2 linked regions of the Saccharomyces cerevisiae S288C genome follow. The gene in region 2 interacts genetically with the main gene of each other region. Each region holds a gene or a part of one and is shown on either strand. Other genes may lie near its edges.

Region 1 (2,740 bases), on a different chromosome or scaffold from region 2:
CCACATATCGCTGATGATATCCAATTTGAACTAAGACAAGTGGATCCGTACTACCGTCTAACATTGTCGCCAAGCGGAAACGATTCTGAAACTCAGTATTACACCACCGGTGAATTCATCCTTCCAGACCGCCATGGAGTGTTTACATTCCTCACTGACTATCGTAAGATTGGCCTGTCGTTCACTACTGACAAAGACGTTAAAGCTATCCGTCACCTTGCTAATGATGAATACCCAAGAAGTTGGGAAATCAGCAATTCTTGGGTTTATATTAGCGCCATTTGTGGCGTCATTGTTGCGTGGATATTTTTTGTTGTTTCTTTCGTTACGACTTCCTCTGTTGGCAAGAAACTTGAAACATTCAAAAAAACAAACTAATATATGTTTTCATATCCTTTATAATTCTTTATAAATGGCTCACATAAATACATAAGAGTACCTGATTGTGTTTATTTATATTTTTTGCCAAACTAAGTACTGCAATAGATTTTATATATGGTTTAGTTTTTAACGACTTGAATCTTATTGTCTTTTTTCCATTTTTCAAACTCTTTTGCAGTTTGTATTAAGGTTTCTTTCATTTTACTTATTGTACCTTCTATGTTTTCCTTCTTAGTTTCAAGAATAGGCAAACTCGTTTGAACATCACTTTCAACAAGTGCGCCACCTATCATCCTGTAACATTTTCTCGTCGGCTCAGCGTCTTTCAGTGTTTTTATGACTATAGTGTGTTCATCTTTGTCATGACCTAATTCTATGATTTTTGTTTGCAATTCTTCCAAAATTTGTTTGTATTCATTATATTTTGCTTGAAAGACTATACACAGAGAAAACACAAAGATTGTTAGTAAGATAAAATTGGCTACATGCATTTATTAAAACCCAGAGATCGAAATTTTGCATACCGTTGTTCCTTTGTTCCATAGCTGTAATATAGTTCTCCACTTCTCATGAATGAGTTTTAAAGATTAGTGAGTTTAGGTGATGAATTCTTTTTTTTTTTTTTTTCATTTACTTCCAGGCGGCAGCGTTCGCGATTTTATCTAAACTTACGTCAACACCACTAATATAGAGTTAAGGAACATACAAGTAGGATTTAAGGTTAGTTTATAATGTGTGTTCATTTACTTTTCTTTATCGCCCCCTTGTCATTTTGCCTGGGGTGAATTGATCCCAGCGAGTATATAAAGGCACCAAAAAAGACTAGGTAGACCCCGATGTAGCCAGTATATGACAAGTTATTATCGAAAAGTCGGACGCTCAGTAAAAGACTTATAAATTTTCTTACAAGTAATGTTATGGAAAGTGTCAGAGCGTTTGTTTTACTGGCGAGGATATTAACACCCTTGACGCAAAAATATTGTGTTAACACATTGAAAAGAAGGAGAGTTTCTTCTCGCGGGACTAGAATCTTCCCTCCAAAATTTGAACACAATATTCTTTCAGACTTTCTCATCACTCGATATTCGTGAATTAACTGCTTTCGACTAAATAGAAAGAGAGGTAATGATAAAAAATGACTGTAAAAGATATTCTCCTTCCAATGCTTTCCATATTTTTGATACGTACGTTCATTGTATGCTGAAAGTAAAGATGATGTGAATGATGAAAGTACTAGTATACAAATGCCAAAAATAAAAGTGAGATCTACAGATTGGTCACTTCCAATTTTCCACGCTTGCAGTTTCAAATCTTGGTACCGAAAATCAGCATCTTTGAATAATGAGGCAATTATAGCTCCAATGGTTAAAAATAGTGTTGATAAAATCTGAATCTTTGTATATTTCCTACCATTTAATAACCAGCATGTAAACATGGTTATTACGGTTCCGAAGCATCTGAAAACGATATGAATCGGAATGGATATGTTGTATTTAAATACGTTATTATTCGTCGTAGATGAAATATAAAATAAAACGACAGTAATGACATAAACGTGAAGTGGAGTTTTCAGAGGCTTGAAGTAAGGGAAAGGTTGATGAACATCCAGAAATTCGGGGAGTCCCTGACATGTAACAAATAAAAATTGACAAAAAGTAATGAGATTATTAATGCTGCCTGTTTCGTTGCTCATTAAGGTTTCAAATGTAATAACATTGGAGCAACAACCTCCGAACACTAGAGCGAATGCTTTTAGTGAGTTCCACATTTTTTAGATTCTCCCAATCCAATTACTTCCCTGCTTATTCTCAATTGAATTCTCTTCATTTTTTCTAACTGGAGTGCAAAGCACTGAATATTTTTACTTTGCGTCGGGAGCGATTGCTTCCTTAAAATATGACAATGAATATATAAAGGAAGAGTATGCGTAACCAAACCATAAGAAAGGCAGAGAGTGCCTAGCATGGTAGCAGACTTAACTAAAGGTATACTGAAATGGAAATCAAGAATAGAATTTGATGCCGTTGGAAGCAGTTCCTATTACGAAGAGTTAAAGGGCTTACCTCCCCTTGCATCCCATAAAAAATTAACACAGGCTGCTATCTTCAATAGCACGAAGTATGAGTTATTACAAGTAAAAAAAGACATTCTGTCCATCTATGAAGTTGTAAGTAGGGACATTGACGAGGAACGCAATCAGATGCAGCAAATTGAACTTCAACTTAAAAAGTCGTTAAAAAAGGTAGAACATAGTTACAAAAACGTCTTAAAGCAAAGGGCTTCTACTAATTGTATCAATGGAAATGATCGTCTATTGGCCAATGCGGAAAAAAAAATTGGCTCGTTAAATGAAGAACTC
Region 2 (4,861 bases):
TTATGGGCCTTATCATTGGCACATGCTCAATTGTCTAGTGTTTTATGGACAATGACAATTCAAATTGCCTTTGGATTTAGAGGATTTGTGGGTGTGTTTATGACGGTTGCACTTTTTGCCATGTGGTTCGCACTAACATGTGCAGTTCTTGTTTTGATGGAAGGTACATCTGCCATGCTTCATTCCTTACGTTTGCACTGGGTTGAATCTATGTCCAAGTTTTTCGTGGGTGAAGGTTTACCATACGAACCATTCGCATTTGAGTATAAAGACATGGAAGTCGCTGTTGCTAGTGCAAGCTCTTCCGCTTCAAGCTAAATTTTGAGGACTTTTAAAAAAAGCGAAACATTTAAGTACTTCATTAAATAATAAATGATGCTACTATATAGTGAGTAAACCTTATTATATACTATCAATGCTAATTCAATAAAGTATTTAAAGTATCAACCAATGCTTAAAAAGAGTCAAAAAAAAGGGAAAAAGAAATAGGAAAGCCAAACTTATCTCATGAAAACGTTAGACTTGCAATCCAATCCACCAGTGACCATCATTTGCCTTGGGGTAACGTTAGAATCGAAATCCACATCCAGGTCTAAACAGTTGACAAATCCTGTATGCAACTTTTCCCAAACGTGTAAGCACTGCCCCGTGTTCAGATCCCAACATCTGACAGATTTATCATCAGCACAAGAAAACAAGTATTGGCCTCGAATACTAATATCTCTAACCCACGAAAGATGCCCCTTCAACGTAAGAACACATCTGAAATTTGAATCTGTAGGATTCGGTATGGGTGCTCTATGGGCCATTAACGTAGGTAGAGGTATCTCCCAGATTTTTATCGTTCTATCTCTTGACGCTGAGACACAATATTGCATCCCCCAATTCTTATATCGATCCGTTGATGGTGTTCTAAACCTTATCTCCGGAGAGTCTTCGATGAAATGAATAAATTTAACTTTCTCTATGGGAAATTCATGACCCGTGCCAACACTAAGACCATTACCTGATGGCCAATGTGTTAACCTTAATGTAGTGTCATGTGAACCAGAGATGATGTAATCGCCTAGAACGTCTATGGAACGAACCCATTGGGAATGAGGCTGAAATGTTTTCAACGACCAACCATTGTGGAAGTCCCAAATTTTAACAGTTTGATCTCTGGAACAGGACGCTATATGGACATCATTATTTTTCTGCCAGATTTTTACCGCAGAGACAATATGCTCATGGCCCAATAAAGACCTAATTTGTTGGAACTTGCATTCCTCGGAGACCCACTTGAAAACATGAATCTGCAAATCTTTAGACGCGGTAACGATCACCAAATAGTTCTTCTTGCTGGAGTTCGTATAATTGGTAAATAAAACATCCATGGAGGTAATTGCCTTGGTATGACTTTGCAAGGATGCCAGAGGGATGGTGTAGTTAAATAAATCAAATGCGTATAATTTGCCATGATCTGTGGCCACAAACACTATAGGCAAATTGGGATGTAGTTTGACGGAAGTGACAGATGATTCAACATTAATTAAACAGCTTGGTAGATTTCTCGGTATCCATTTCAAAACATTATGTGCGCTGGTGCCGTTACTGGTGGTAGGTTTGAATTGTGCTAGTTCTGACACTTGAGTGTTCAAATCTTTAATCTGAGATACAAGGGTCTCTGTATTCTGCTCCAATTCAATGATTTTTTTTTGTAGTCTAACAATTGAGTTCCACTTCTTCGGTAGCAGTAATTCATCAATGTCTACCATACTTTCGTTACTGGTGTCATTGTTACTGATGAATTCTTGCCGGTCCACTGATTCTTGCAACAGAAAACCTGATAGAGTTACAATTGCATGTCGAACACTTTCGTAATCTTGAGCATGCTCATGTCGTACAGTTTGTTTGTAATTCCAATTCAAATATCGGAGGACACTTTTATCGAGTTCATTTTTCTGTGTATCTGTTAAAGGAAGCTGTTGCTGCCAGTTAGTCATTTCTATTTTTTTCTACACTTACGCACGCACAGGTGTATACCAACAACCGGACGACGAACCTAGCTGCTTTATCAATGGCTATCTGGGCGACGATGGCCCAATACTAAGATTACCTATTACGTTTACACTCGCCAAAAATAAGAAACAAGTGCAATATGCACGACTTGCAAGCTGAAAATATTTCAAAACACCCACATCCCACAGCACAAAACCAGTGCAAATTCCATAAAGGGAAGTGAATTAAATTCAATGGTAGATGAAAGCACTTTTTCAGGAACCGTTTTAAGATCTAATTGTAGTTTACCAAGATATACTAAAACGTCGTTACTCGTTTTATTTACCTACCATTAGCTAACCGTTGCCATGGCTACCGTCCGGGTCGCCAGCGGCTGCTACTGCAAAAGTTGACAACGAAAAAGAGAAAAAAAAAATTCTCGGCACGCAAGACCTGAATGGTTTTTGTTTTCCCCTTCCCATTTTTTTCTTATGGTTTTTCCAGTTTTCTAGAAGCCGGAAAAAAGGCAAGCTACAAAATGTACTACGCGGAGCCAGAATTAAAAACCACGCGGACGGGACGGGCCGTGGCTTGTGACGCCGGATCCCCGCGTATAATCCGTGTCACGCTAAAGGACAAAATCGGTTTATCCGAGCGGTTTACGGGAAGGGTCTTTTGCTATCTCGCAGTAGCGTGTGCCTGGTTATCCCAATACTACCACCACACCTGTGCTTTTTTTATCTTGTACGTGCATGTATGCGTATGTTTTCTTTTTTTCCGTTGGTGCTTATTCGCTACCGTCTCGTTGATCCATGAATCACAAACACAAGCCGGTTCTGCTTACTATACAAAATAGTCTTGTGTCTTGATTCATATATCCGTCAATAACGTAGCCTTTCTTTATTTTCCTTTCGCTCACCATACTCTTGCATTAGTGTATTTTGTCTTTTATATCGCCAATAAGTGCCCAACTCTTCTACCTGACCCCTACGTCGTCGCCGCCCCTTTTCTTTTTCTTCGCCTAGTTCTATTTGGCTATATATTTCAGAGTGACAAATCTTTAAGAGAGACAAACTGAGAATTAGCATATAGAATCATTCATACAACTGTTTACAAACAAGTAAGCCCAAGACAGTTCCCAACCGCTTAAAGAAGTTTTTCCTAGAGGGAGCAAAGTTCGTTTACATTTCACACACACAGTTTTTTTTCACTTTTTTGGGCCTCTTCCTTTTCCCGTTTTTTTCAAAAAGCTTAGAAATCTTCTTCACCTCCTATTTTTCTAGAATCGTGAAGAATTTCCAGATTTAACAGTTTTCCACTTTTTCAATAAGGAAATAGTAGGAATAATAAAAAAAGGATAGTAGTAACGATATACGTCGACTTTCCAGACTGGTCTCGAGCCGGAATTAAATACAATAGCAGCGTTTGACTACCACATTGTAGCTCCGCTAGAATTGATCGAAAACAAAAATAATAACACTAATAATTATAATAATACGGTAGAACTATTTCTCGTATAAAGATGCCTAATCTATTGTCGAGAAACCCATTCCATGGTCATCATAATGACCATCATCATGACCGTGAAAATTCGTCTAATAACCCGCCACAGTTGATCAGAAGTTCTAAATCTTTCTTAAACTTCATTGGTAGAAAACAAAGTAATGACTCACTAAGAAGCGAGAAATCTACAGATTCCATGAAATCTACCACAACCACTACAAATTATACTACAACAAACCTTAATAACAACACCCATAGCCATTCTAATGCAACCAGTATCTCAACAAACAACTACAATAATAACTATGAAACAAACCACCACCATAATATTTCTCATGGGCTCCATGACTATACTTCTCCCGCCTCTCCAAAACAAACCCACTCCATGGCAGAATTGAAAAGGTTTTTCAGACCTTCTGTAAATAAAAAACTATCTATGTCTCAACTTCGTTCCAAGAAACATAGCACCCATTCCCCCCCACCTTCAAAATCAACTTCTACAGTTAATTTAAATAATCACTATCGTGCCCAGCATCCTCATGGCTTTACAGACCACTATGCTCATACCCAGTCTGCTATACCGCCAAGTACCGATTCTATCCTATCTTTGTCCAATAATATTAATATATATCACGATGATTGTATTCTGGCTCAAAAATACGGGAAATTGGGTAAGTTATTGGGTTCCGGTGCCGGTGGGTCCGTTAAAGTTCTTGTGAGACCAACTGATGGTGCTACTTTTGCCGTCAAAGAATTCAGACCAAGGAAACCGAATGAGAGTGTGAAAGAATATGCCAAGAAGTGCACCGCAGAATTTTGTATTGGTTCGACTTTACATCACCCAAATGTTATCGAAACTGTTGACGTTTTCTCTGATTCTAAACAAAATAAATACTATGAAGTTATGGAGTACTGTCCGATTGATTTTTTTGCTGTTGTTATGACAGGCAAGATGTCTCGTGGCGAGATCAACTGTTGCTTGAAGCAATTGACTGAAGGTGTTAAATATTTACATTCTATGGGATTGGCACATAGAGATTTGAAATTGGATAATTGTGTCATGACTTCCCAGGGTATTTTGAAATTAATTGATTTTGGTAGTGCTGTTGTGTTCAGATATCCTTTTGAAGATGGCGTAACGATGGCTCATGGAATCGTGGGTAGTGACCCTTACTTAGCGCCGGAAGTGATTACCTCCACCAAATCTTATGATCCTCAGTGCGTCGATATATGGTCTATTGGGATCATATATTGTTGTATGGTGCTTAAAAGGTTTCCATGGAAAGCCCCTAGAGATTCTGACGATAATTTTAGATTATATTGTATGCCGGATGATATAGAACACGACTATGTTGAATCTGCCAGGCATCACGAAGAG

What was found. A genetic interaction does not mean that the proteins touch.
Region 1: mutations in PAC1 (region 2) and GIM4 together harm fitness more than expected from each alone (negative genetic interaction), as found in Saccharomyces cerevisiae (6 studies listed by BioGRID, with this or other methods).

Annotation. Positions count from the first base shown.
Region 1 is NC_001137.3:146,360-149,099, reverse strand, and holds GIM4 (tubulin-binding prefolding complex subunit GIM4), read right to left. Parts: upstream 925-2,740; coding exon 906-924; intron 818-905; coding exon 501-817; downstream 1-500. Other genes in the region: WBP1 (dolichyl-diphosphooligosaccharide-protein glycotransferase), read left to right, coding at 1-378; YEA4 (Yea4p), read right to left, coding at 1,121-2,149; VAB2 (Vab2p), read left to right, coding at 2,345-2,740. UniProt on the Saccharomyces cerevisiae protein: Binds specifically to cytosolic chaperonin (c-CPN) and transfers target proteins to it. Binds to nascent polypeptide chain and promotes folding in an environment in which there are many competing pathways for nonnative proteins.
Region 2 is NC_001147.6:823,509-828,369, reverse strand, and holds PAC1 (Pac1p), read right to left. Parts: upstream 1,986-4,861; coding exon 501-1,985; downstream 1-500. Other genes in the region: VPH1 (H(+)-transporting V0 sector ATPase subunit a), read left to right, coding at 1-318; YOR268C (uncharacterized protein), read left to right, coding at 2,438-2,836; putative serine/threonine protein kinase HRK1, read left to right, coding at 3,503-4,861.